Linked DNA regions of Arabidopsis thaliana. The protein of the gene in region 4 binds, or shares a complex with, the protein of the main gene of each other region. Each region holds a gene or a part of one and is shown on either strand. Other genes may lie near its edges.

What was found.
Region 1: AT1G64510 (region 4) and rps4 share a complex: the UniProt entries of both Arabidopsis thaliana proteins name them as parts of the 30S ribosomal subunit.
Region 2: AT1G64510 (region 4) and AT3G13120 share a complex: the UniProt entries of both Arabidopsis thaliana proteins name them as parts of the 30S ribosomal subunit.
Region 3: AT1G64510 (region 4) and PSRP4 share a complex: the UniProt entries of both Arabidopsis thaliana proteins name them as parts of the 30S ribosomal subunit.

The regions. Positions count from the first base shown.
Region 1 is NC_000932.1:43,147-49,995, forward strand, and holds rps4 (ribosomal protein S4), read right to left. Parts: upstream 2,683-6,849; coding exon 2,077-2,682; downstream 1-2,076. Other genes in the region: photosystem I assembly protein Ycf3, read right to left, coding at 378-605, 1,320-1,445; ndhJ (NADH dehydrogenase subunit J), read right to left, coding at 5,531-6,007; ndhK (NADH dehydrogenase subunit K), read right to left, coding at 6,111-6,788. UniProt on the Arabidopsis thaliana protein: One of the primary rRNA binding proteins, it binds directly to 16S rRNA where it nucleates assembly of the body of the 30S subunit. With S5 and S12 plays an important role in translational accuracy.
Region 2 is NC_003074.8:4,216,973-4,225,471, forward strand, and holds AT3G13120 (Ribosomal protein S10p/S20e family protein), read right to left. Parts: upstream 4,676-8,499; 5' UTR 4,555-4,675; coding exon 4,330-4,554; intron 4,178-4,329; coding exon 4,139-4,177; intron 3,650-4,138; coding exon 3,338-3,649; 3' UTR 3,317-3,337; exon of another isoform or gene 3,301-3,316; intron 3,129-3,300; 3' UTR 2,338-3,128; downstream 1-2,337. Other genes in the region: AT3G13130 (uncharacterized protein), read left to right, coding at 6,036-6,641.
Region 3 is NC_003071.7:15,975,064-15,982,112, forward strand, and holds PSRP4 (plastid-specific ribosomal protein 4), read left to right. Parts: upstream 1-5,784; 5' UTR 5,785-5,884; coding exon 5,885-6,041; intron 6,042-6,108; coding exon 6,109-6,173; intron 6,174-6,261; coding exon 6,262-6,396; 3' UTR 6,397-6,549; downstream 6,550-7,049. Other genes in the region: AUX1 (Transmembrane amino acid transporter family protein), read left to right, coding at 264-471, 558-815, 1,496-1,729; ATMAK3 (Acyl-CoA N-acyltransferases (NAT) superfamily protein), read right to left, coding at 3,576-3,791, 4,488-4,543, 4,683-4,803, 4,903-5,082; AT2G38150 (alpha 1,4-glycosyltransferase family protein), read right to left, coding at 6,637-7,049.
Region 4 is NC_003070.9:23,952,077-23,959,761, forward strand, and holds AT1G64510 (Translation elongation factor EF1B/ribosomal protein S6 family protein), read right to left. Parts: upstream 4,229-7,685; 5' UTR 4,202-4,228; coding exon 3,749-4,201; intron 3,160-3,748; coding exon 2,917-3,159; 3' UTR 2,727-2,916; downstream 1-2,726. Other genes in the region: AT1G64490 (DEK, chromatin associated protein), read left to right, coding at 90-464; AT1G64500 (Glutaredoxin family protein), read left to right, coding at 1,194-2,300; RPN12a (regulatory particle non-ATPase 12A), read left to right, coding at 4,383-4,487, 4,788-4,866, 5,161-5,263, 5,344-5,607, 5,703-5,814, 5,904-6,044. UniProt on the Arabidopsis thaliana protein: Binds together with bS18 to 16S ribosomal RNA.

The DNA.
Region 1 (6,849 bases), on a different chromosome or scaffold from region 4:
AGACTTACTGTCTTTAGGATCTGATGCTACACCGCTGCTCAATACCTTCGGGGATTACTCTATTACATAAGTAGATTCCTAAGATTTATCTCATATTATGATATAAATAAACAGCTCTTGTTGTGTCGGTCCAAAACCTTTCCAATTGATCTTTACGGTGCTTCCTCTATCAATTAAATCTTTTTTTATCCATAGAAAAGAAAGTATTTAGGCATATCTAGTCTTCACTTCATATTTCGATGGATGAAGTTTAGTTATTTGCTACAGCTGATAAAAATCGTTTTAGGCGATGCTTATGTAGAAAGCCCTTTTTTTGTGTTTCTAGTATTTTATTGACTAGCGTTCGTTCTTTTTTTCTATAGTGGAGATAGTCGCACGTAATGACAGATCACAGCCATATTATTAAAAGCTTGTGGTAAAAAGGGGTTTCGTTCTAATGCCCGAAAATAATATTCTAAAGCTTTGGTATGTTCCCCATTACTTGTATGGATAAGGCCTATATTATAGAGTATATAACTTCGATCATAGGGGTCAATTTCTAGTCGCATAGCTTCATAATAATTCTGTAATGCTTCCGCATAATTTCCTTCAGATTGAGCCGACATCCGTTACGGTCGTCATTCGCTTTAACGAACTCTCCGTTTCAGAACCGTATGTGAGATTTTCATCTCATACGGCTCCTCCTTTAGGTGCATAATGAAAATAATATATGTAAAAATGTGATGTCATTATGAACTAAGCGGGGCTAATGTTTTTACAAGAAATCCCTAGCCAACCTTCTTGCAAAAGATCTTTTCTTACTACCAAGTGGGTTCATGCTAGATAAAAATAAAAAAGGAAACTCTAAAAATTTCTTTGTTCTCAACGCCCCTAAGTTTCCAGGAATTAGTCACTTCAACAGTCTTCAATGGTTATACGGGTATCCAAAATACGAACGAGATGGATGTTTATTGTTCCAACCATTTTAATTAGTCCCAATCCCAACGAAGAAGAAGAAAGGGAATCATTTTTAAGAAAGTTTTCGTGTTGTTGATTTCTCGGCGTAGTGCTTCTTCCCCTATGCCTCCTATTCGTATATTGTATTAGTGTAGTAGGATTGATCTGTAATACGGGAACCATAGGTAAAAACCTTTTGCTCAATACTATAATTCACAATTGAAGCATCTAAGGCTGCATTAATCGTGGATACATGACAGAAGGGATTGTTTTTTTTATATTATAAACTTCACCTTCAAAAGCGTAGATTTTTTTTCAATACTCGTTTTTCTTTCTATTCCAATCAAAATCGGCGAGAAAAAAAATAATGATAATCAAATCGCACCATCTCTGTAATAAGTAAATGCCTCTTTTTCTCCGGAAGTTGTCGGAATGACTCGTAATAAGATATCGGCTACAATTGTAAAGGTTTTATCAATAAAATTTCCATTTATACGCGATCTTGGCATAGGTAGTAATCCATTCTCTAACTCTTTTTATTTCCTTTACCTTTTCTTTTGTGAGAAAATTTTCTCACAAACAAAGGAATTGTATAGTACGAACTAACATAAAAGCGGACTCATTAAAAAAAACCTTCTATCTACTTCCAAATTTTCCGGTCAAAAAGGGTATCTATTAACCATAATCTAAAAAACGATGAATAACTCGCTATTCACCCAGATACTCAGTCATAATCTTGATGTCGGAGAGATGGCCGAGTGGTTGAAGGCGTAACATTGGAACTGTTATGTAGACTTTTGTTTACCGAGGGTTCGAATCCCTCTCTTTCCGTACTTTCAACAAATTCACCAATCTTACGTGATTGACCACAATGTATCAAATCCAATAAAAAAGAATCGATATAAGATCTACCTTGTTTTGATTTTGAAATAGATTCTCTATTCCTAATTTCTTTCATATGGAAAATGCTGGGAAGAGCAAACAAGGGATCCCAATCTCCCTACCAATCTATGATACATGAATAGGAAAAATATTCTTTGACAAAATCCCTTACCTTGTGCCTTTTTATTTTTAATGGAAAAGGGGAGTTGTCCGAACTCTTGTTTTTAGTAATTTTTTTTTTTACTTAAGTTAGGTTTATTAAGTCTGTCGAGAGTAATATTCTACGACAAGCAATTCATTTATTTTCAAACCGACGCATTTCCTATCTATTATTTGATTGACTAACCCTTCATATTGGAATGTGTGAAGAGTCAGATGGTTTGGCAATTCCTCAGGGGCAGATGAATCAAGAAGATTTTGAACCAAAGTTCTAGAGTTTTGTTCATCCTTCACTGTAATAATATCTCGGGGTTTGCAGCGATAACTTGGTATATCAACTATACGACCATTAACTAAAATATGTCCATGATTAACTAATTGGCGCGCTTGAGGAATAGTCAAAGCCATACCCAATCGAAAAAGGATGTTATCCAAACGCATTTCAAGTAATTGTAGTAAAACTTGACCTGTTGACCCCTTGGCTTTTCCGGCTATACGCACATATTTAAGTAATTGGTGTTCTGTAAGACCATAATGAAAACGCAATTTTTGTTTTTCTTCTAAACGAATACGATATTGAGATTTTTTTACGGAGCGTGATTGGTTTCTAAGATCGCTTCCTGCCTTAGGCCTTTTACTAGTTAGTCCCGGTAAAGCCCCCAGACGGCGTATTTTTTTAAAACGAGGCCCTCGGTAACGTGACATAAAGACTCCTTTTTTGATTGAAATTGTACAAAACTAAATAAAATTAAAACTGAACTAAATGATAATGATAAATGACGTGAAATACACTCCACTATTGGAATACAAAGAGTAAGAAGATATATTCTCTCAATATACAGATTTTTTTTATTGTATATACAATATATATAAATCAACTAAATCACAAAAATTTTCCTTTATTTTCTTGATTAATTTTGCAAAGATCAAACTCTTTTACCCAATATATATTCCTAATATGGAAGTTTATATGACATAATATAAATGGAGTGGTAACTCTTGGAAAAAGGTCAAAGAAGTCTTTTCAATCTTCTTTGATTTTGAAAGTACATTAAAAATCATGTAAAAAAAAACGAAAAAATATGGAAAAGCCGGCTATCGGAATCGAACCGATGACCATCGCATTACAAATGCGATGCTCTAACCTCTGAGCTAAGCGGGCTCAAATAAAATAGCGCATGCATACAAATTCACTAAACTACTAGATCGTATCAATTAACTATTCTATTAATATTTTTCCTTATCTAGTTAGAATTAATGATATTCTATATATTCTAGAACAGAATATAGCTCACATAAATAGTGACTATCATTCATCATTAAATAAATAAAACATAACCTTAATTCTATATATATATCTATATAGTCATAGAATAGTATAGAATTATTAGAATTTCAAATTTACGAAGTAGACTTATAATTTTTTTCCATTGCACATTGTAGAATTCTAAGTTTCAATAATAATAATAATAAATTTCTTTTCATGAAAGTAAAAAAAAAAAAAAGAATCGACCGTTCGACTATTTCTGAAAATTTAAGCCAAAGATGAAAAAAAAAAGAACATATATATGTTATGTAATATATAACCATATTGAATTGCAAATACAAAAATGATAGAATCTTTGTTGATTAGACTAAATCAATATGGATGGAGCTCAAAAAAATAAAAGAAGATAACAAAGACATAAAATAAGTATCTATAATGTAATGAATCCCGAGGTTTCGGCATAAGAAAAAAAAGGAAAGACATCATAATGAGATCCTAAAAAAGGGGATATGGCGGAATTGGTAGACGCTACGGACTTAATTGGATTGAGCCTTGGTATGGAAACCTACTAAGTGATAACTTTCAAATTCAGAGAAACCCTGGAATTAACAATGGGCAATCCTGAGCCAAATCCTGGTTTACGCGAACAAACCGGAGTTTACAAAGCGCGAAAAAAGGGATAGGTGCAGAGACTCAATGGAAGCTGTTCTAACAAATGGAGTTCACTACCTTGTGTTCATAAAGGAATCCTTCGATCGAAACTTCAAATCAAAAAGGATGAAGGATAAAAACCTATATTGTATAAATTTAGGTAACACAAAACGATCTCAAAAATGACGACCTGAATCTCGATTTCTATTTTTTTATAAACAAAATCAAAATGTTGTGAATCAATTCGAAGTTTAAGAAATAATATTTCTTGATTAAAATAAAATTATTCACTTCATAGTCTGATAGATCCTTGATGGAACTTAATTAATCGGACGAGAATAAAGATAGAGTCCCATTTTACATGTCAATACTGACAACAATGAAATTTATAGTAAGATGAAAATCCGTTGACTTTTAAAATCGTGAGGGTTCAAGTCCCTCTATCCCCAGCTCTACTCCCCGAAAAGGTTGACACCTTACCTTTTTTTCGTTATTATTTATTTGAATTATTTATAATCTATATCATTTTTCATTTTCAAACTTAGAAAGTCTTCTTTTATTTATAAAATCCAAGAAATTCCCGGTCCACAACTTTTTGAATTTACTACTTTTGAGTTTCTTTTCATTGACATAGACCTAAGTCATATATTAAAATGATACTGATACTTCAGTAGATTATACTTCGGTAATGGTACACATAGCTTAATTGCGGGGGACTGAAAATCCTTGTGTCACCATTAGTAAAAGCAAGATGATCCTTCGGTAATGGTCGACATAGCTTAGTTGCAGAGGACTGAAAATCCTTATGTCACCATTAGTAGAGGACTGAAAATCCTTATGTCACCATTAGTAAAAGCAAGATGATACTTCAGTAGATGATACCTCAGTAATGGTCGGCATAGCTTAATTGCGGGGGACTTAAAATCCCTGTGTCACATGATAATGATCCTTCAGTAAAGGTAGACATAGCTTTTTTGCAGAGGACTCGAAATCCTCGTGTCACCATTAGGAAAACGAGCATGATACTTCAGTAGATGATACTTGATACTTCAGTAGACTAATGGTGGACATAGCTTTTTTCCGGGGGACTTGAAATCGTTGTGCCACCATTCGTAAAACGAGGATGATCCTTCGCCGGGATAGCTCAGTTGGTAGAGCAGAGGACTGAAAATCCTCGTGTCACCAGTTCAAATCTGGTTCTTGGCAGAGGATTTATTAATTTTGATAAGTTTTTATTCTTCAAATTAAACGTATCTTTAGTAAAAAAAGTGCAATTATGCTTTATCCCCTCTCTTTTTTTTGTTCATGTTGTGAATCCAGCCGTTCAAAAAGAATGTATAATACTTGATACATAATACATATCCGAAAGGAAAGGTTAAATGAGTTCCGTTGAATCAAACAAGTAAAAAAAGGTCTATATGTATAGTATACTATAGTTGAAGGGCAAAAATACCCCAAGGTTCATTAGATACAATAGAAATAGAATTGTATCCCCCCCTTCATTTATTGCTTTCCGATCTTATTTATTCATTCCCAGTTATGTGACTAAAGTTGACTAAGTTATGTGCGCGATACAAAGTTCATAATGCAGAACTCTTTTTTTTTAGTTCATCCTATTGGCTCATTTTTTATCATTCAATAAGCATCTTGTATTTCATAAAAATTGGGGGCAATATAATCCTTACGTAAAGGCCACCCTATCCAACTCTCGGGCATTAGGATCCGTTTCAGTCGTGGATGGCTATCATAAGTGATTCCTAACATATCATAAGATTCCCGTTCTTGAAAATCCGTACTTTTCCAAACCCAGAAAACGGATGGAATTCTAGGATTACTCCTGTGAGTAAATACTTTTATGCAGACTTCTTCCGCTTGATTAACACCATATTCTATTCTCGTAAGATGATACACGCTGGCTAAGAGGCCACCTGGTGCCACATCATAGGCACATTGCGAACGTAAATAATTGTAACCATATACATATAAAATTACAGCAATAGAATGCCAATCTTCGGGCTTTATTTGTAAAGTCTCTATTCCTTGATAATCGAAGCCCAACGATCTATGAACCAGCCCGCGTTTGGCTAGCCAAACGGACAAAGTGCCCTGCATCTTTTTTATTTCCCCCACACCTTTTTTATATAAAATTAAGTATTTCACATTTACCGTTAATTCTAATTTATGAAGATTTTTTTCTGATTCTCTAAAAGCCTCCCTAATTCACTAATTCGTGGGACGATACTGGACTTTTGTATTTAAAAAATGTTTCAGTAGAGATCTCTGAAGTAGATGATGGTGGATAGAGTAGTTCTTGATCATAATTTCCAATATGCGGACTGCGTACAACAAAAAACTTGTGATTGGTAGTAAAACACCGATTACCCTGTTGAGGTCTAATTCGATCCTTATAGATTTCTCTAGCTATTTTCTTACGAAGCTTTGTTATAGCGTCTATAACAGCCTCTGGTTTAGGTGGACAACCCGGCAAATAGACATCTACAGGAATTAGCTTATCAACTCCTCGAACAGTACTATAAGAATCGGTACTGAACATCCCCCCTGTAATTGTACAGGCTCCCATAGCAATAACATACTTCGGTTCAGGCATTTGTTCATATAATCGCACTAAAGAAGGAGCCATTTTCATTGTTACTGTACCTGCTGTTAAAATAAGGTCCGCCTGTCTAGGACTCGATCTTGGTACTAACCCATAACGATCAAAGTCAAATCGGGAGCCTATTAATGAGGCAAATTCAATGAAACAACAACTGGTACCATAAAGAAGCGGCCATAGGCTGGAAAGTCTTGACCAATTTGAAAGATCATTTAACGTAGTTGAAATAACGGAATTTTTTGTTGTTCGATCAAGTATGGGAAACTTAATGGAATTCATAATTGTTTCAATGGTTTTTTTTACTTTTTTTTTTTTTATTATTGTATCAAGTATTCGGTAA
Region 2 (8,499 bases), on a different chromosome or scaffold from region 4:
AATTGATTTCTTTTTTAGTATTTCTATTTTTTTTAAAAGAAAAAAGTTAATTATTTTCTTACACGTATCAACATCTGATCGATAGACTTGACACGTGGTATAATCGTATGAGTTAGTAACTTTGAAAACCATAATTTATATAATAAGATTTGTTTATATTTTCTTTGGGATTTAATTTAGAAAAATGTGTGTAATTTATTTTTGAAAAAAAATGGCATAGCAAATCGAATCATTGTTTTAATTCTCGTGCGATTGAATTAACAAAAATTAAAAGGACATATATGTCGACTGTCGTAATAAAGTAGCACTTGTTTGGTAAAAGAATTTTAAAAAACACATGTTTATTATCATTTTAAATTGTGGTCAGAGTTTTTGTGTACATCTTCTTTTCGGGAGTGAGGCTCATCTATCACATGTTCTTTTTTGTGACACCTACTTTTTTTTGGTTACCATCAACCCACTTTTTTGTTGTTCATTCTTTTTTGTATATACCAAAACAACAAACTATAACGACTAAAAAATAAAATTATCACAATGAAAAGAAAAAAAAGAATATATTATCACAATTCACTATGACGTGAATACGAGCAAGTGCAATCCCATACAAGTGAAATTTAATTTTAAATATTTCATTACCTTTGTTCAACACAAGAACTATATATTTCATTGCCACCTTCGAGATATATAAACCCTTTTTGTTAGACGTGTATAATAGACCTTTCATAAATCAATTTAAGACTAATTTGACTTAACTAGTGTTGTTTAGTAAGGTTTATATATGCCTAGTTGCTTATATTTTTAGGTAAGAATATATGTTTTTTTTTCATTTTGCTTTGAGTTTTATGCTTTGTGGTTTTAATATCTTTTTTTTTTCTATATGGCTTAGACTCCAATAATTTTTTGTGTTCCTCCCGTTTTTGATTCCGAGTATTTATTCATTGCATATCGGCTTTAGTTTCTCTTTTTTTTTTTTTTTTTTTAGTCACTCCCGTGTGTACTATATACTTAATTTCAACAAATTTATCAATATCAAATCAGTTGACAAAAACAAAGAATAATTTGATTTAACTTTGGTGTTTTTGTAATTATAAAATGAAATAAACGTGACGTATGTAATGACAGATGACTTAGTTAGTCTATAGATCCGTGAAGCCATCGTCCTATTTTCAAGCCAAAGTCACTTGAATTTATCATGTGGCTCTCGCTCTTTCTGATCAATTAAATAGCTTTATCAATTAACATAATCATATGATGTGAAAACCAAAAAATTAACATAATAAAAAGCTTATATGTTAAAACGAAGATATTTGACTACCAGCGACTTAATAAACTATATCCAAGTGAGATTGTGTGAAAAAAAATAACTATTTGTTATGTTTAGAATCAATTTCTTCGATGGGTTTTAGATAAATATTTTATTTAAGTAACTGCCATCCCAAACAACAAGGGGAAAATACAAATTGAAGGTGTTGTTTTCTAATAAAACAAACAATTGGTATTACAGAAATTCAAAATCAGTGGGAACCCCTCCAATTATTTTCCGACAATCAGTGAGGTCTCAAAATACTACAACCAAAAGAAGAAATATATGTTTTCTTTTCTTTTTTTTTTGTCTTAAAATTATATTTTGTTTCCTTTCAGTTTCAGCCGTTGAAAATATTGTCTCTTCGAGTGTGGAAAACATAAAACCCTGTTTGTTTGATGCTTCTAATGTGGCCATGTATTTTCGATCAGGATTAGTGAACAATAAGACTGAATTAGAACAAAGCAATTCTGATATGAGGATACCATAATCACGAATAATGAATCACAGCTAAACTTTTATTAAAGTTAGAGAAAATAGTGACTCATAAGACATAGTATACTAGTTCATATCAGTGTTATTATCACCTTACATATTTGATCCAATATGAGTGTTTTGGTATATCAATATGAACCAGAGTTTAACCATTTGGTTGAACGCAAAATAGTTTTGAATATGTTTATGCAAATTGCAATAAACCCAAAATGGTAGTAAAAGAAAATACAACCCATAATGGTACTACTTGAAAGTTTATCATAAAACCGATCTCGTAAAATATAAGATTATGGAAGCAGAAATTATGTATGATTTCAGTAATGCTGTGAAAAAAAAAAGCAATTTATTCGAGTGTTTTTGAGAACAAACTATAATCAAAATAAATAATAATGGACGGTCCATGTTGGTATATCGTGGGAATATGCCTTAACTTTAACGACTATTATAAACCGCCACATCATTGTCTCATCTACTTAAACCAAATTCAATTTTGGCGACTATTCGTTTTCTTTCTTCTTTGGTCAAGACATTATCTTACAATGAACCACTTCTTACTATACCAAAAACCATTTCATATGATTAAAATAATGATATAGTTGTGTGTATGATTGAACATGGAAAAGAATATTCTTCAACTTTATAATATTGGGGGGTTGACAATTTCTGCATCATCCAAAATTCCAAATTAGATAAGAAAAAGCGCCATCGACTTATCAGACATAAATTCGAAACCATTACTGTTTTTTCCCTTGGATCGTTTCGTAAGCTTGGAAAGGAAAGACTGGTAAAACAACACTTGCAGGTTTTAATTGGCTGCTAAGAAAAGAGACGAACTGAGTCTAGAGGATAATTGATAAATGAAATGTGTTGTGACAAAAAATTATAATTTCCCTATTGAGTTTGTGGATAAACGAACTTATACGTTTATTATAATAATGAAGTCGCTTTCAAGATTCCAACCTCCTGGTTTTAAAATAACTCAAGTTGTGCATCTTCTTATTCCTACTATAATACTACTATAATACTTATATTCAAAAAAAAGATTCCACTTTGAATACAACAAAAATAAAAAAACTTATCATAATGGACACAGGCAAACTGCATAACAATTAGTAAAACAAAAACAAATTCCTTTGAACTTGCTTAATTAAGGATATGTTCATCAACTAAGAACCAAGCATCGCTAAAGATAGATTCCAAGGACCAGATAATACAACTTACATTTTCGTTACAAAGGTTCTCAAAAAAGATGATACAAGGCTTACCAGTTCTAAGCAATGTAGTTGATCTGAAACAGTCTGTTCATTCAATGCAAAAGTGCCCATCACATCTGAGGAAGAAAAAACACTTTGGTTAAGAACAAGCATCAAGATCTTGATGGTCAACAGAGAAAGATTGTAATTTGATGAAGTTTTGTTTTTGAGGATAAATATTGGAGCCTATGTGCAGTTTCAGTAGCTAAGACACATCAATATTCAAAAACCATTAAGAAGAGAGATCACTTTTTTTGTTTGTTACCATTGTAGTTACGCTTCTTCTTCAGAGCTTCACTTCCACATCGACACCAGCAGGAAGATCAAGTTGCATCAAAGAATCGATAGTTTGAGCAGTCGGGTAGAGAATATCAATCATGCGCTGGTGTGTCCGGATTTCAAAATGGAACCTAGCATCCTTGTGAACGTGAGGAGACTTGAGAACACAGTAGATACGCTTCTTGGTTGGCAATGGAACAGGACCCATCGTCTTTGCATTGGTGTTTCTCGCAGCATCAAGTATCTGCTTGCATGAGTCCTCAATAAGAGGCACCCAGTATGATCTAAGCTTGATCCTAATCTTTTGCTTTGGCGCCATCTGATAACACAAAAATAAATCAAATTAAACCAAACACAATGAAACTCCACAAGACCCCTTAAAACAAAACTCTATTGTGGCAAATCTTATGAAGATACCATCTAAAGACGATCAAGATTTCTATACAATTACTTCTCCTTTCCTGTATATACAAGATGATATCTACTTGAAGGCATTTCACACAAATGAGACTCTTTATCGCTCTGAAAAAACGTAGTAAACCAAAGAAGTCTATTGATCTGACAAAGATAGACATTGAAGACATCAAATTTGAAAATTTGCGTATCAATTTCTAGCAGTGACCTCTAACACAGCAATGGGCATTGGTGTTAGAACAGATATGATACTTTTTAGCGCTGTGAAAACGTAGTAAAGCAAAAAAGTCTACTGTTTTGACGAAGATGGACACAGAATTTAGAACACACCAATGCACAAGTACTCGTAAAATCTGTATTCTAGTAAGTGAGCTGTAACAGTAACGGAATATACCTTATCCGCGTCTACACTGATGGATGAAGAGCTCGGAACCTGAATCACACAGACACAAAGACTATTATTAACAGAATTAACATCAAAGTGCTAAATGATTCTGCAAAACAATGTCTTTCCCCCCCCCCCCCCAAATTTCGCATTAGCTCTGCAAACAATCGAATCCGAGACTGACAGAGGAAAGAGTGTACCTCAGAGGCGGGTTCATCGAGAATTTCTGGAGTTGGATCTAGGGTATCGGGAACAGCGAAGACCTTCGTAAGCGAGACGGATGGTTTCGTAAGGACGCAGGAACTAAGGCCGCCATGGGTAGAAGATGAAGGCAGCAGAGAGACTTTGAGTCTGGTAGAAGAAGGCGAAGAGCTTGGAATGCCGAAAGATGGCAATAGAAACGACGATACAGTAGAAACCGCCATTGAATTTTCCCAAAACCACGAATCGATTTCTCTTATTCTTCTTCCTCTTAACGTTCGAAGGATGAGGTTTCTTCTTCAGCAGCTTCTTCTTGAGGGTTATCCATTTTATCCAAAACCTTTTTCTCTCTTTTTTAAATGATGAGATATTATTTATTCTAAGCCCATTAATTCATTAAAAGGCCTACGCTTATTATAAATGAATACCCATTAGGCCCAAATTGTATAGTTTCTGTTAGGGACCAAAAGTACCCATTAGGCCCATATTTTATAGTTCTTTTGGGGACCAAAAATATTCTAACCTAGTAAAATATGATTCATTTGTCTTTCGGTATTTTCTTTCTTGTGGATTGTGATCTGTCTTTAGAAGATTCTTTTGTATCTCATAAATATCTTTTGGAAAATTCAACACACAAACATTCGTGAAGTAGATGGAAAATTTAAGAAAAGTGGAAGACAAAATGAACTACTTGACAAACAAAACCCCATGAAAATATGCAATGAATGTGGAAAAAAATGGACAATATAAATATTCGATGAAATAATACAAACTCATAAAATAATATTAATTTGAATACAAAAGACAATAATATCAAGGAAGGATTCCGTAGTTTTGATTTTTGACTTTTAAATGCATTGTTCTTAATTTTATCTGTAATTGTGTGATCCATAATCTGTAAATATATACCTTCAAATGTGTGATCCATAATCTCACACGGAAATATAAGGTGTTAGCGTAGTTCAAGTATAATTTTTTTTTAATAAAAGCAAAATACATGTAGAAGAAGCCTAACAATTAACATAATGATGTCGCCAAATCCATGCAATTTAAAGAAGGAAAATGACTTAAACCAATCAAAGACATAAAAGACAATGACATCTTCTAAATATTATTGTCCACAAGCCCTCACACTATTCAAAGACCAATCATCCCTTACTATTCCGTTTGTATTTGTCTCAATCATGAGTATTTTTTTTTATATATATCATCAAGCTATACATGACTTAAAAGTCATATTCCTTTACCATTAACATACCATAAAAGCTAAGTCATCATGTATAGCTTGATGATATAAAAAGAAAAAAAATCCGAATTCCATCAGAGGTCATAAAAGATTCGGAACTTTTGGAACACTAACCAGAGGTCGTTTCGCAATGTAACCAATAATAGGACATAAGAAAACATGGATTAGTTGACAAACAAACAATAGAAGAAACACAGAGACTTTTTTTTATCCACATAACTGGGAAATCACACTTCACACGTGGCATGCAGCCATGCAGCTTCAGAACAAGGGGTGGTTTGGTAAAATCATCCACAGATGCCCATTGCCTTTGGCTTAAATTCTATAAATACCAAAGCCGTTGAGTGTAGTGTAACGCTTTGCACAATTACACTTTAACCTGTTTAATTCCTTCTTCTTCTTCTTCTTATTCTAGTCCTCACCATTCACTCACAAAACCAAAGAAAAGAAACCAGAGAGATGGATCAAATAAAACCGGAGTTTCTGAAGAAATTGACCAAGTTTATAGCAGTTTCGATGTGGATTTTATCTCTTTTAACCAGCCACGACTTCTATTTATATAGGTTCATGATCCAACTCGTAACACACGCAGTAGATAAAAACTACATGTTCCTCCTCTGCAATGGTCTCGTAGTGGTTGTTGCTAAGTGTTCTGGTTTGGTCGCTTCGTCCAAACCAATAGAGAAAATTTGGAGTAATACCGATAAAACCTTTGATTATGGAGATTTCGAGAGTTACACTACGATACTGGAGCTAGAGTATAAATCTGATCATGGAATAGGAACAGAGTCCTTTCTTGCAGAGGAAGTTACAGTGGAGGAAGATACAAAACATCAAGAAACCGAGGACAACGAAGAAGAAGATGACGACGACAACACATTAGCAGATAATGATGGAGAGGAAGAGTGTGGTCTTCGTGGCGGATCTATAAACGAGGAAGAAGAAGGGAACGTAGGAGTGATGACATCGACGGAGGAGGAGATGAATAAGAAATTCGACGAGTTCATCAGAAAGATGAAGGAAGAGCTTAGAATCGAAGCTAAACGGCATTTAATCCTTGTTTGAGTACTTTCTAATTAATCAGTTTTGTTTAAGTTTAATCAAACGCAATTTGCTCATATAGAGAGCGAGTTACGTTTTCTAGCTTCTTCTACATCCTCCTAGCCTCTGTAAGCATCTCTTTTAATGGAATCCTTTTTAAATCTAAGTAATTCTCTCGCGTTACACTTTTTCTTGAAAATTGTTACCTCGTATATATTATGCAAAAATGAAACTCGTCAAATACGATTAAACTACAATATGATCATATACATACAAAATTATATGTTTACATATTTCATATCGAACTCCATTATTAGTTCTATAGGCTAGACTGATGTACTACATGTTTTTAGCGGTGTGTTGTCTACACCCGATAGTTTCGGGGGAATAATGCTGTCCGTGCATGCACACGTGTATACCTTTGCATATAATGAATTTTCAATGTCAAAGAAAAACGTATGATGGATATTCCTAATTCTATATGTCTTTTAGGAGATGATGTACTTTCGTGTAAACATGATATGTGATGGATTGAGCCATTTTTTTCTATTTCTTGGCTATAGTTGATTTTTAAAATGTTTAATTTTCTTGATCTGATAACTTTTGCTGATTCCGTGGCCAACAGAACATCCGGTACCATGATTCCAAGCTTGAACAGTACGTATAGATTTCTTTAAATTGATCATGGGTTTGGTAAAAGTAAAATGTACATACGCATTTATCAATGTTATTACGTATTCTTAACAATAATATAATAGCTATTAGTAAGCCCTAAGATGATAACTGTAGAAACTTTCAGACTCATTACAAAATTCTAACAATGTTATAAGTTACGTCAAAATGATGTATTGTGTACATATATTTAATCCCATGATCCATCAATCCATATGTACAACCTGTAGAATATTTATCAACGAGAACGAAGAATCGAATATATGTTTAAAAAGTAATATAAGTTTGCTTTAAAGACTCCATATATAGATTCTCTGCTCTCTGCTTTTAGTTTTAGACCTCCATACTTTTTTTTTATCAGTTCCCCCACTATCCTATCCTACATATTCATCATCACTAGTCTCCATAAGATCATTTTTATTTGAATATTAAAAAATAAAGTTACTGTGAAATTTGTTGAGAATCTTCTAGTCGATCGCTTAGTTGGGTTTTCACTTTGAACAACTTTTTGTTTTGTTTTCTGAAACGGTTCAACTACACTAGCTAGCATCATGCATGTTCCATTTAATGTGATTTATCTTTTCTCTAGTCCTTTCGAGAGGTTTTTATTAAAAGGAAAACATTTGATTTGACTAATTCAATTGATCAACGTGAAAACACCAAAAAAAAAAAAAAAAAAAAAAAAAAACCAGAAAGAAGAGTTTAATACTGAATGTTACATGTATCAAACAAGCAGGAATGAGACAGTTGAAATGAATGGATAATGAAGATTTGGTACTCTATTGAGTATATGTAATTACTAATACAAAAACCCGTAAATTTTCTTGGTTAACTAGTTTAAGAAAACGATTGAGGAGCGAAAGATCTATCGAATAGTGATAGACTATACGATTTTGACACAGCAGAACATGTCCACTCCCGTTTATATTTAAAATGAACTTACTTATACAACTAAATATGACAAAACAAAATAAGATAATAAATGGGTCAGCTTATTTCATGTTATATAAAATGATATTAGGCTTTGATTGCAACAAGTTTGGCATGTAAGTATTCTAAACTAACGACTTTATACATCTTAGTTTGTATCATTCCATAAGTAGGTTTCAGTTTTGGCGATCATCTAAGATATAAACGGCGTATGATAGATATAAAAAAGCCGTAAATACCTAACAAGAGATGAATGGTAGTGTATAGAGCAATCATGCAT
Region 3 (7,049 bases), on a different chromosome or scaffold from region 4:
TTAGCAATCCTTAAAATAGTAGTACTAATAAAATAAGCTCTTTTTAAATATAAAATAGAATAACCATTATTATTCCTATCCCTATAAAGAATAACAAACACTATTGCTACCAAAGCACTACTACTACTAGTAGGAATAGTACGCTTTTGCGAAATGTCAAATACACCCTTTTTATGCGTCAATGATTGTTGTGAATCCAATCTTTTACATAGTTAAAGTTTTGGATGAAATTATGAATATTAACAGTAATTTCTAATTTGCAGTGAGATTATGCATGCTATGTGGAAACCACAGAAGTTTAAGTACATTTACTTGATGGCGACGTTATACGTGTTCACGCTAACGATTCCGTCAGCTGCCGCCGTTTACTGGGCTTTCGGAGACGCACTTCTCGACCACTCCAACGCTTTCTCTCTTATGCCCAAGAACGCGTGGCGTGACGCCGCTGTTATCCTCATGCTCATTCATCAGGTATACACATACAACATTTTTGTTCTTTCTTTTTTAAGTAAATTTTGATCATGAGAGATTAATGCAACGTGTTCTTGTTCGTGCAGTTTATAACGTTCGGGTTCGCTTGTACACCTTTGTACTTTGTGTGGGAGAAAGTGATTGGGATGCATGACACAAAGAGCATTTGCTTAAGGGCTTTGGCTAGATTGCCTGTGGTCATACCTATTTGGTTCTTAGCTATTATCTTCCCCTTTTTCGGTCCAATCAATTCCGCTGTCGGTGCTCTTCTTGTTAGCTTCACCGTCTATATCATCCCATCTCTCGCTCACATGCTCACTTACCGATCTGCCTCCGCTCGTCAGGTATAACATCTTTACTAGCTCACTCTCTTTTAGCGTTTCAAAACTCGAACTTAACCTAAAATACATTGAGTTACCAATAATTTTTTAGAAATGAAATGAAGAGTCGGTGGAGGAATATTATAGTTGGGGGGTAGGGTTGTGAAATTGGAGGGCAAAAACGTCTTTTGTGGAAGATAGATGGGGTTCAGTGTTCCGTATCTTACGGAAGATAGGATCATCACCCACATTCCTTACTGGCGTCCCCTCCAAATAATATATTATTGAGTTGGTTTCAGCCATTTCTTTATTTGGTTACATTTAGAAGAAAAAATACAATATCCGGTTAGGTTAGTATTAGTAATTGACCATGACTTCTTTTTCTTTCTCTCTTTCAAAACAGTGTATATTAAATTTACGTAAGATAAAAGTAGAGGAAAATAGGGGAGAGGAATAGGTAAGAGTCATAATCAGAAATGAAAAGGAGCTGTACAATAGGGACTCTATGCCTAACATTAATCTAAAGTGAGAGTCTGAGTATGACAAATCACAATCATATCTCTCTCTCTCTCTCTCTATCTCATGGGTCAACAAAGCTTTGGATTTTGTCCATTACTATACGACCAAAACTCTAAAACACTTACACACTCTCTATTTCTTTAATGGTTCTCTGATTATTTTTGTGTTTTGGATCTTTCTTGTAGAATGCGGCGGAGAAGCCACCGTTCTTTATGCCGAGCTGGACGGCGATGTACGTGTTGAATGCTTTCGTGGTGGTTTGGGTTCTTATAGTCGGATTTGGGTTCGGTGGATGGGCTAGTGTAACCAACTTTGTTCGTCAAGTCGACACTTTTGGTCTCTTTGCCAAGTGTTACCAATGTAAACCAGCTGCAGCCGCCGCACATGCCCCGGTCTCCGCTTTACACCACCGTCTTTGAGAGATCGAGTCAGGGTTCTTCTAATGCGTTTGTGGAGGGTTCTTAAAATTATTTGTTCTTCTTTTGTGTTTTGTGTTCGTATACGTGAAGGGAGTAAAAGTCACGAAAATAGTGTACTTTTTACACACCCCTTTAAATGCGTGCTAAGCTCTTAATTATTTTTTTCTCTTTTGGGGTTTTGTATTTTTGTTTTCACTCCTTAGTTTTTTTTTTAAAATTGAATAGTCGATAATATGTAGTGTGTGATTTCTTAATTTGGTATTGTTAAAACAATAGGCTAAGAAAATGTATCGTCTTCTCTCCTTTTACTTGTCTTTAGTAACAAAAAACAATTCTTATCTTATACATTTATCCTAATTAGACTTATATAAACTATTTTACCATGAACAATATCTTCCGATACTAGATAATTCTTTAGGATCCTATTAGATCTTTTAATTATACAGTTTTGATCATAGCACAGCGACAATACTACTAAGTTTACATTAAAATTTTGAAATAACACTTTAATTTATTTGGAAAATTTGATTTAACGGCAGGGTGTGTTTAAAAATTAAATAGGGGAACATGGACAAGTTGGACCGACGGAGCCGGTCATATATCCTATGGGCCACATGGGTGTGGGGAGAGGACGCACGTGGATACTTCGTCCGAGTCACGTGCCATTATTTACTTGACACTCTTCATCTTCTCTCTGATCAAAAGAATGGATCAGAGGACCGTTCCTGTCCCTCATATTAAATATGGCATGTGTTCGTTCCATTCGTACTCAATCGTTTACCCCTTATCATATGCTCTGCTTTCACATGTACTTTGCCCCCAAAGATTATAACTATATATGTAAAATTATTAACTAATATTCTCGTTTGAATCCAGAGTCCGATTCTTGTACTTTCCATCTGACTTTTTTTTTGTTGGGGGTCAAAATAAAAAAGAACTTTGCAAAAATGTTTCTTCTAATAGCATAAAATCGTTAAAGAGAAAAGAAGAAGTGAATGTGAGTCATATTATGCGATATGGAGTAGGACCCTTGGTAACGTTTGGTTAGTGACCCTTGGTAACGAGTGGGTTCAAATTGTCAATAAACTATTATGTGGCGAGTGGTGAATCGTCTTTAATTTGTTCTGATTTAGGCCATGTGAGTTTTGCAACTACATTTGAGGCTTTTCTTCTTCTTTATATTAGACTTTTTTTTTTTTGTAAAGTGGACTATCTGGATACAAAAAAAATCTCGGCTAACATGGATAAATCTAAGATGGTTGTGTTTGTGAAAAGAAAATTGTTTTATAGTAAAATACGGTATGCAATAAAAGTATTTCATAAAATATCTCATACCAATTATTCAAGCATGTCTTTTCATAACATTTGACTGGCATCTTTCTCTCCTTTGGCCTTAAATCAATTTTTTGTCATCTTGGATTTCTTTTGAGGTATATAGAGCTGTTTGAAAATTTTGATGGCTGAAAATCACTTCACATCTCGATTTCTATATCATCCACTTAACTCGAAGTCAGGAGTAGCCTGAGACGATTAGGTTAAGTTAAGTGGTTATATGAATTTGTAACAACATTTAGATCTTTGTTTCCAATCATCAACCAAGTTTGAGAGACCTTAAAAACGTATATACGCACACCACAAAGTGATATGAATATGCTAAATTGTTTCTGTAGACACACAAGACCGTTGAAACGTCCAGATTAATCGCTTACTCCAGTCGAGAATACTTCATAAACATGGGACTAGAATTGTACCAACACATAATATTTCTTCATACGAAAGAGAACATAGTCTTAGCATGTTCAGGATTTAGAATACATTGAAGAAACACACATCTTCGTTCATGGCCTTAAGGTACACGAGGCCTAGGAAAGGTCTCATACTCTTGTTGGGTTTGAACTTGAGAAGGTATTTGAGGTACACGAGGCTTAGGGAACAAGAGCTTCAGGCGAAAAGCATCCATCCCATTCAAGTAATAGTGGTATAGCCGTTTGGCTCTTATAAACCCGAGTCGCCCATATAGTGCTAATGCTCCTTTGTTACTCACTTCTGCCTCCAGAGTTACCTTCAGCCATACATCTTTACATTAATTAGATTGCATAACCAGACAACCATACTCTCATGTTGTAATCAGGCTTGATTATGAGGAACTTGAAGAGCAAATGCCAATCACGAGGTTCTTTTTCCAATCTATTTACTACTGAGATTACAGTTAAGAGATCACACATACAACAGAAAATGATTCGTCGAATACGCAATTAGTAAGTGGGAGACAGGGATTTCTTATTTTATATTACTATCAGTTACATTCCAATGCGTGTGACTATAAAGAGTCATGGACTACATACAAGACTTATACAACATATGTATACTAAGTGAGAGACTGGGATTTTGATTTCCACTACAAAATTAGTAACTAAACGAATATCGAAAAGTTCCAACTCTTAGGAGTATGATTAACTACTTTTATACGTGGAACTAAACTTACACACACAGTTAGCTAAACAATCAAAAGCAATAGGTATACTTGCAATGATTAAAGGCAGCTACATCACCTCAGCTATGAAATTCTATTCTAGTAGATAAAAAGGAGGCACTATTTCAGGACATGTAATGGACTTATAACCTTCCGGAAAAGGTGGTTCATAAGGTCTTATCTACATTTATACTACCAGGAAAGGATATCACTCTAGTGCTACCAAATATCTAAGTTCTCCAAAGTGGGAATAAAGAGAGAAGTGAGAATGCAAGAACAGCATACCTCTTCACAGCCTGATTCCATCATCGCTTTTATCGCTCTTGTGACAAGCTCTGAGGCTGTAAAAAAACAATGACAAGTCAGCACACAAAATTATCGAACCTTAAGAGAGGCATGTATTTGCAGTAGATCAAACACTACTCCCACAGTCAAAATCTGATTCTGTAAGAAGTTAGGAAGCACTAGCTCAAGTATTACCTATGCCTCGGCCACGATATGGTTTAATCACAACCAACATAGCGATGTACCCTCTGAAAGTCTGTCGATGATCCCCCATCTTACAGACTATGGTTCCTACGCATTTACCTTTGTGAAAGGCCTATTAAAAGAAACAAAACAAATGCTACTCATAAATCCATCAAAACATAAGTATCATGAGGGTAAAGCAACGATAATCGAAAGCTGAGTGTCAAAATACCAGGAAGCATAGCTGCGGCCAGAGGTAGACGAAGTACCGGTAAGTAAAGATGGAGTAAGGTTCACTAAGTTCTTGGTCAACAAGAGACATAATCAATGGCAGATGATGCTCACCAGCATAACTCGTGTACTCAATCTCACCCTCATCGAATTCTTCTTTATCTTCCATCTCTTTCTCCATTGCAAGAAGTGATCAAGATCCCGAATTGTATACTTACAAAGAGAAATATGAACTTCTGATCAGTTGTTTATACATTGATGATCTTGTTCCTATAGGAAGTGATGAAACACATAATGCAAAGTTAGAGAATATAAATCATTTTCTGTGAATCGAAGTTGAGTGATTGTTTCAGAATTGAAAGTTCAATGTTTTCATAACAAACTCAGATTGCTCAAAGCCTCAAATAAACAGCTGAAGCAGAATCTATAACACTCTACTAAAGCAAACGACTTTGGCTAAAGCGAGCTATAGAAGATTTGAGAGTTCAGAAAAAAGAGAGCTTACCGATGTTATGTGACAATAGGATTAGTAAAGAATCCTGTGAAGCATAAGAATGAAAAAAACACACACAGATTTTAAATACCAAGTAATGAGAGATTTAGAAAGAGATGTGATTATAAAAATTGAAACTTTTTAGAAACCCAAGATCAATGAGATGATAAGAATACTTACCAAAAGTTTGAGCTTTGTGAAATTCGAAGATCAAAAGTTACGATCTGGGTGATATCTGAAGAAAAAAGCTCCGAAGAGAAGACGAAGAAGAACAAGAACAAGAACAAGAACAAGAACAAGGTCGATTACACACGTGACAAGCATGTGTAGGGTTTAGATATATTTGGGCTTTAAAATAAGCCCAATTGAAATTAAAGCCCAAATATGAAAAGATAATTAAAAGCCTATCCTAAAATCGTTTTTCTACTCTCACTGCCTTATCTTCTTCTGGATCTTCTTCTTCGAACAAATTCGAAAACAGCACACGGCGATGGCGTCGCTTATACTCGGAGCTCCTCCGCGAGTCACCGTCGCATTACCTTCCTCACGGTTATCATCTTCTCACTCTGAAACTGCCGGTGTCTCTCTCTCTTGCTTCACTCATCAATTCTCTCTCTCCACTTCCTCATCCAGCTCAATTCCACTCGGTAATCTCCCTCTCTTATCTAACTCTCTCTTAATTCGTCAATGGCGTAACTTTTCCGGTGTTCGCAGTGTACTGTGGCAGAGGTGACCGGAAAACAGCTAAAGGAAAGCGTTTCAATCACTCTTTTGGGAATGTAAGTAATCAAATTTCTCTTTCCGATTTCGTAATTTTACTTTGCAAATTCGCAATTTTGGTTTTGAATTTGGGGTTTATGTAAGCAGGCGAGGCCAAGAAACAAGAGCAAAGGAAGAGGACCGGAGAGAGTACCGGTTCCTCCAGCACCACCGAGGAAAGATAAGTTTGAGAACGACGAGAAGATCAAAATCGATATCGACGAGTCTCTCTTCTCTAATTAGAAATATGAGATTCTTCACTTGTTGTCTCTCACTGTAATTTTAATTTGTTTTTTGAAAAGCTTTGATGCTACGACTCTTTTGTTGTTAAAAACATCTCCAAAGTTCTCATCTTTTTATGAAAAGTTTGCTTCTTTATGAATCATTGAGTCTTTTACATTGAAAAAGTAAAGCAAACTAAGAACGAGAATCTATATACTTAGATAGATCAGATGGATGAATCATCTGTCTCTGTTTGGATCTTTAAATGTGAGAGTTTGTGATGTTTCCGCAGACTGTGCAGTGAGTGGAGACGAGAGTGTGCATTACACTTCCTTCTTCAATCTTAATCTTCCTTGTGACTTTGTTCCACAGATGTATCATGTAACTCCCTTTGTTCATGTCCTGTACTGTCTTCTCTACCCATTTTGCTTCTCTTGTGGTTGCAGGTTTCTTGAAAAGCTTTTGGATTTTGATCCAGTTTACTGGATAGAAAGCATCGGGAGAAAAGATTGTGAGATTGTTGTATCCAGGTTTGTTTCCTAATCTCTTGATAACTCTAGAGACTAGGTAAGGGCTGTTGTATCCCCATTTGTTTCCGTCGAAAGTTGTGGCATACTCTTGCAAGAATTCTCGCATTAGCGGATGGTAGATGTCAAAGACCATCACTGCGTTGT
Region 4 (7,685 bases):
AACAGAGATTTTGAATTTTCTCTTTGAAACCCTCAAGTGTGTTTTTCTTAGGCTTGGTCGATCTTTAGCCGTCTTCAACATCAAAATCAATGGAGGAAGAAGAAGCGAGACAAGTGGTGATCGACAATGATCTGAAGAAGAAGATCAAGGAAACGGTGAAGAAGATCCTGAAACGGTCGAGTTTACTTGAGATTACAGAGATTAAGGCCCGAGAAGAAGCTTCATCTGAGTTGAATCTCGATCTTTCGCGAGATCCGTACAAAATCATCGTCAGAGAAGCCGTCGATAGTTTCATCGAGAAGGCGATTATGACAATCGATACTGAGATGGGAAAGCTTCATACTCAGATTGTAGAAGATGTTGATGGAGAAGTAACCGAGAATGCCACGAAGACGACTACGAAGAAGAAAAAGAAGAAGAAGGCAAAGAAGAAGGTGGAAGAAGAAGAGTCATCACCTGCTTAGGTAAATTTTATCATCTCAGATAAATTTCATCTTTGCTCAGGTTTTTGTGTAATTTCAACGATGAATGATGTCTTTAGTTGAAATTAGTGTTTTAGCCATTGATACTACACTTCAAGTCAAAGTGTATCAGACTCTGTAACATGCTCCATCAATAGTTATATGTTTTGTTACTTAAAAAATTGATGATTGTCTAATTCATTAGGACATTTAATTTGCCAAAGAAAAACTTGGTTTTGGTGAAATTGTGATACTCAAAAGATTCAAGTATATCAAAATGAAACCTCTTTTTCCAATGCTATATATTCTCTTTGTGTTATGAAATGCATTATTTTTGTATCGACCCTTCAAATGATAATGACATTTGCATATCTTTCTTCGGTAGAGTTTGACATATTTGCATTTAGGAGAGACGACAATTAGAAGATTGAATTGTCAAGAATATGATTGACTCACCACGTAGATTACACTGAAGCCACAAGCACACTTTGTGGTGGTCGTCATTCTAATTCTTATTATGATCGTTTCACAAATATTCATGGACTCGAATAAATCCACAATTGTATACTAAGCATTATTCTAGGAAGGATACAAATTGATGCAAAAAATATTTAGATAAGAGAATGCTCTTAGACCACACAAAATGCTACCCATCATTTTCTTGTTTTCTTCATATAGTAAACACAAAAACATATACAAAGAAAACTGAACAAAATTTGAAGAGTTATTAAAATGGGGTGTACATCTTCCAAGCAAGCAAAAGCTAACGTCGTCGCCGACGTTTACAAACCACCGCCGTCTAGTTTCGCGGTGTTTGATGTCAACGCCATCCAAGAGCCATGGCTAAAATTTGAACATGAAGATGATGAGAAACCGCCACGCTCCACCGTCTTCGACCGTCTCGACGAGGATGATGATGATGATGATGATGATGGTGATGACGCTCCTAAAACATGGGAAGAAGTCAGCAAATCTCTAGAAACTAAACTTAAACCTGCCGCCGTTAAACCGCCGGAAGTAGACTCTGTTAAACCTCCGGCGACTCCTCCACGGCGGCTTCCGCGGAAGAGCGCATCGTTCCACACACTGGACGAGCTTGAAGTGAGGGCCAAAAGAAGCATCGCCGCGCAAATCCCGACGACAATGGTTAAGCTTAAGAGAACCGAGTCGATGTCCAAGCTAAGACCCGAGTCAGATGATCGAACCGAGTCCACTCAGTCGTCCTACTCGGGGCCTCGGTCAGTGAAGGAGAACATATTCGTCAAGAGAGACAGAGAACGGAGGGAGAAAGAAGGGAACAAGAAGCCGGTGATGAACTGGGACCCACTTAGGGAGTTCCCGGAGAAGTGTCCGCCGGGAGGAGGGGAAGGTTTGATTGTCTACACGACGTCGTTGCAAGGAGTGCGTCGCACGTACGAGGATTGTATGCGTGTGAGGGCCATCATGGAGCAGCAAGGAGTTGTGGTGGACGAGAGGGACGTGTCTTTAGACGCCGGAGTCTTGAGCGAGCTTAAGGAGCTTCTCCAAGACGAAGCATCAGTGGCGCCGCCGCGAGTGTTTGTGAAAGGGAGGTACTTGGGAGGAGCAGCGGAAGTGACAGCGATGAATGAGAACGGGAAGTTAGGGAGGGTGTTGCGGTGGGCACGTGTGGAGAGAGTAGGGGAGGAAGGGAGGCTCACGTGTGAAGGGTGCGGAGGAGCGAGGTGGTTGCCTTGTTTCGAGTGCGGCGGAAGCTGTAAGGTGGCGGCGGTTGGGGCGGCCAAAGGTGAAAGGTGGGAGAGGTGTGTCAAGTGTAATGAGAATGGATTGATTCGTTGTCCCGTGTGTTTTGTTAATTAAGAACATTATTAGTTTACACAAGCAAATAGAGGTGTGTCAAATATACTTTGTCCCGTTTGTTTTGTTATATGTATGTGACACGTTTGATTTTGTGGAATTGAAAATGATTTGAAACTATGCTAGGATTTTCATAAAATGTTAAAGCATGAACGTGAACCATTATAATGCTAAGCTTGCAAGGTCTCTCACTCGTATATGTTGATGGTTTTGATCAATTACGTAAAGGAGTTCAACAATCTCACTAATTTAAGTTTGGATCGTCAGAAGGTAAAAGCTGGCAAACAAAGTCACTTCTGCCTGAATACTTTACAAATTTGTTCTTTGTTGCTATTTTGTTTGATTGTTATGCATCCGTTGAGGATTTTGTGCTATGAAACAGAGTAATATGAATTCCATCATTATAGTAACTATGGCAAGTTAGTGTTAGTTAAAATCTTTTAATGAAAATGCATACAAGTATGCTTCTCAAACTTAGCTTTAAGAGTTTCTCACAGTTACATAAGAAAGCAGAGCAATGCACAAAAAAAGATACAAAAAAGATAGATTTACTTTTGTTCTTACAAAGAAACAAAAAAAGAATCTGACATTTTTCTCACATACACAATGTTCATGGTCTTCAGTTGTACTTCCTCTTCTTTATCTTGAAGGAAGATGATCGGATAATGTCATCGTCGGCAGTGAGAACGGTCTCGAGTGGAACTATTGATTCGGGTTTGGTGAAGTAAGTGAAGAGAAGGTAGATTCCATCCAAGTAAGTGTTGGTTTCTCCAGCTTTGTTCTTCTTTCTTATGCTGTAAGCCAACGGAATCACTCCTCTGTTAAACACTTCCACATACATTCCACCTCCTGCCACAAGCAACTGCCACACACACCAAAAAGAAATCCCAGCAACATAATGAATCTTTCAGAGTCTGCACCAACTAAAAACTTCCACTACTCCGAACATAAATTTCAGAATTCCTCATTAGATTAAACATGTGATATAGCGTAAAAGAACCCACGCGTAAACCACAAATGATAACTGTGTATTAGCTCGTTTCGAGCATCAAAGGACATTTCAAGAATTGAGTTAAAATGTTATGGTAAAACATGACTAAAAAACTAAGAAGTGCACTAAGGGCTCCTATCTTGTTTCAAATGGTTGAGACTTAAAGAATTCACAGCCCACAGAAGGATGAGATTTGCTCTTAGAAAGTTAAACTCTTTACTTCAATTTTAACAAGGAGTCGTCACAAACATTCAATTGATAGCTGCAAGTTACACAACTCTACATTGAAACCATTTTCTCTTGCTTTGTCATTAACGTGTAAGAACAGACACAAGATACAACTTTTAGTGATCTCTTACTCAACTTCTAATTGAATCCTAAAATCTCTTTCTCTCTCAAATAATCAAATTTCCCTCTGACATGAAACAGAAAACAGGTAAAGTTGGAGACTTTTACTTACCTCTTCGTATTTCTGGGTAAGACCAAGCCGTTCATCTTCAGACATGTCTGGTCTCAAAACCGCCATTGTTTCGTACTGCCTGAGCCCAGGTGGGCACTGAGGTTCCGGTTTGTCTTCAAGGGCAGTTGAGACTCCCGACCCGGAAGGAGAAGTCGGGTCATCATCCGACCCGAATCCACCTTCAAAGAAAGTTCCAGAGAAGTCAAGAGCCTGAGATTTCACCACAAATTGAGAGCCATCTCTCTTCTGTATCGAGGCACACATAGGTTTCGACTTGGAAATGAATGGCCTGAGAGAGTGGGAGAATGATAGCAGCGGCTGCGAAGATACATTAGGCAGAGGGCAAATTGTGGAATTTGATACACACAGCGAAGACGCCATTGTTGTGAGATTGTGAAAGCAAAGAGGAGATGAGAGAGTAAAATTTGGATAAGAGATGATGATGGTACACATTAGTCAGAATTCTATTGTACACCATGGGCCTTTTTAGGTTATTGGGCCTGTTAAAGGCCCGTTTTGTAAAGACAATTATTTCTATCTGTATTATTTGTCTTCGCGATCAAGCCAGTTCTCGGAGCAATCAAATCTATAAGAAAAGAATCGTCGCCGGTGAAGAGAAAAAACCATAGAAGCGATGGATCCGCAGCTAACTGAAGTTTCACAGCAGTTCGAGAGATTCAAGGCGGCGTTTGCGAGGAAGGATTACAATACCTGTAGCGATCTGTTGTCTCAGCTTAAGGTCTACATCTCTCTCTCTTCTTTGAACCCTAATTTGTTTCAATTCACTTCTTTGCATATCTGCTTATTGAACCAACTTTGGGAAAATTGATGGGTTATGTCGCGAGAGTTTAAATCTATGAGAGCTTTGATTTATTGAAGTGAGAATTTTTAGCATATAAGTGTGTTAAGGATCTTTTAGAAGAGCTAAGTGCTATGAAATTTTTAACTTTCTACTTTAAGGGATTGTTGGGATTGGTTTAGATTTACAATTTACTGGTGCGAGTCTCTGATGTCGCTGGGGTTTTGTTGTGTTCTTCAGGTTCTTCTTACCAAATTCACAAGTCTTCCTCCATTGTTCGAGAATTCACCTAATGCAGCCAAGGAATTGACTATTGCAAGTAAGTTTCTCTTTTTCATTATTGGTTTTACATGAGCTATTTGCTAGTAAGTTTAGAGTTTTGCTTTCAATTGCATGGAGTGTTTTGGATTTGTCTATTCTCATGAGTTATTTGTTAACTATACTTAAATACCACTGAAGAGTGTCTGAGGGATTGTACTGCTTTAGTTTGTCTGTCTATCCCTATATGTATACATTAATCGTTGAATGCTGCATTGGTTTGGATTGAGTTATTGGTAATTTTTGTTCTTATTGATTATCCGTTTCTAAAACTTTGACAATTGGTGTATTCTAGGGGACATTTATGAGCATGCTGTTGTTCTAAGCGTCAAAACCGAGGATCAAGATGCTTTTGAGAGAGATTTCTTCCAGCTGAAACCTTACTATGTGGATGCCAGGTAAAGAAAGAACCAACTGTCTGAACATTATCTTTTTCATTTTCTTTTGGTCTAACATATCTTCTTTTCCTCTGCACCAGGAACCGTATTCCTCAGTCTCCACAGGAGAATCTTATCCTGGGTCTTAACCTTCTGAGGCTGCTGGTACAAAATAGAATTGCTGAATTCCACACCGAGCTTGAATTACTTTCATCAGCTACACTAGAGGATCCTTGCATCAAGCATGCAGTAGAGCTTGAGCAATCCTTCATGGAGGGTGCCTATAACCGTGTGTTGAGTGCTAGACAGACCGCGCCTGATGCAACTTACGTCTATTTCATGGATCTCTTGGCAAAGACCATAAGGTAGCATCAATGAGTCTGTCCTTCTCTGAATTAGTTCAGTCTTATGTCTTCTCGCGTGTTATCTCACCTTTTTATTGTTATGACTGAATTCACAGAGATGAAATAGCTGGATGCAGCGAGAAAGCTTATGATTATGTCTCTATCAGCGATGCCCGGCAGATGTTGTTGTTCTCTTCTGATCAAGAACTCTTAACCTATGTCACAGATGTAAGAGAAAAAACATTTTGTGCAAAGTTTAGAATCTTTTTTAGTTTCATGAACCATTGACGCGATTTAGGTTTTATCAAATCTTATAGGAGCATCCTGAGTGGGAAGTGAAGGAAGGGTTTGTTGTCTTCCAGAAAGCCAAAGAAACTGCACCGTGCAAAGAGATTCCGTCTCTGCAACTCATCAACCAGACTCTAAGCTACGCCAGAGAGCTGGAGCGTATCGTGTAAGATTCGACTTTTCTCACTGCTTGTCTCTTCTCTTCTGTTATGTTCCTGGAAATCTCTGGGTCAGAAAACTTTGTTATCATGTAATGACCGATATTGAGCGACTCAGTATTTTCTCCGGGTCAATGAGACTTTGTTGTGATATCAATCTGTTTTTCCATATCCTTTTACGTTATATTCTATTGTTTAGTGTTCACTCGTTTTCAATTGGAGACTCTGTCCTCCTCACTTTGATGCTTTGCTTGAACATGATGTCCATAATTCTAGGGGTGTTCAAAACTAGGTATAGTTTGGAATTCAGAGTTACCGTGGTCCGGGATACTCAATTTCGGTTTGGTTTGCGGTGGAATGTTTTAGTTCAGTTTGGTTATTTGAATTTGGGTTTGGTTTAGTTGTGGATGAAAAGGACAGATTTGGAGAGCCTCTAACGTAGTGTAGCCGGGGCCTTCCTTCCTTTGATGAACAACCTAGTCCAAATATGGAAGAAGGAAGGAAGGATTGTCATTACAGAACAAGGGACACACAATTGTCAATTGCCAAACACTCATCAACTTGAAACAAGTGGGGATTTACGTTGCAAGCATTTCTTCTCCTTGGGGTTAAAATATTGATTAACAGCTAAATAACAAATTAGGGAAGTTATTATAACATTAAAAGAAAGAATAATCACGATTAGATGTCCCCACTAGGAAAACAAGTTACTGTTAATAAAAATTTTATGTATTGCAAAAGGGCTTAAGTAAGGATCCACTTTGGGTAAGTAGTTGAAAATGGCTGAGTAAGAATAATCACGATTAGATGTCCTCGCTTTTTTATTCATCTCCCAAAGCGAGATTCGTTTTTTTCATTGTCGTCAATTATTGCATTGTTTATCATAATTATTTGCTAAGAACATCATTATTATTGAATAAATTATAGTAGTCGTTGTTATTCTACTCACCCACAACACGCACTTAGTGCCTAATTACGTCTTAATTTAATATTTTTTAAAGCTTTTAGGCGCATAAAATATGCTATGACAACTTTGTTCATGGTGGTGGACGTGTAAGAAACGTCTAAAGATCTACTCTATATAACATAATCAATTCGTTTTTTGAAATGTGATAAAAACAAACCTTTACCATATATTCGCCTCTGGCAGAAACAATGCATTTGGAATAAAATAGAATCGTATCACAGCATTTAAAAACGATTATTCAAATAGTCTAATAGTATTTATTCACACCTTTATGTTTTATGTATATCGAATTTTGTCAAAGCCAATATTCTAGAGATGGTCAATCAATATCAATACAGTTTTTTTTTTTGGCCAATGTTCTAATATTCAAGTTTGTTAGTATTAATAGAAAAACAAAATTTCGATGCCTTTTGTCTCATAAAAATATTAAAGAAAATAATACAAAGAATAAAGAATTTGCATGAAATGGGAGATATTCTAGTGGTTGGGGTAAAATGGTACAGCGTGGAATCAAATGTCTTCAACAAAATCAAATTATTTTATCTCAAAAAGATTTAAATCCCAATTTAAATAATATTACAACTTGTCTTCTCCTCTTATTTCTTCTCTCTCTCTTTCTGTTGAAGAAGCTGAATCAGAAGAGTTTTTTTTTGCTTCAAAAGGAGCTCCGGCGAAACTTCCGGAGA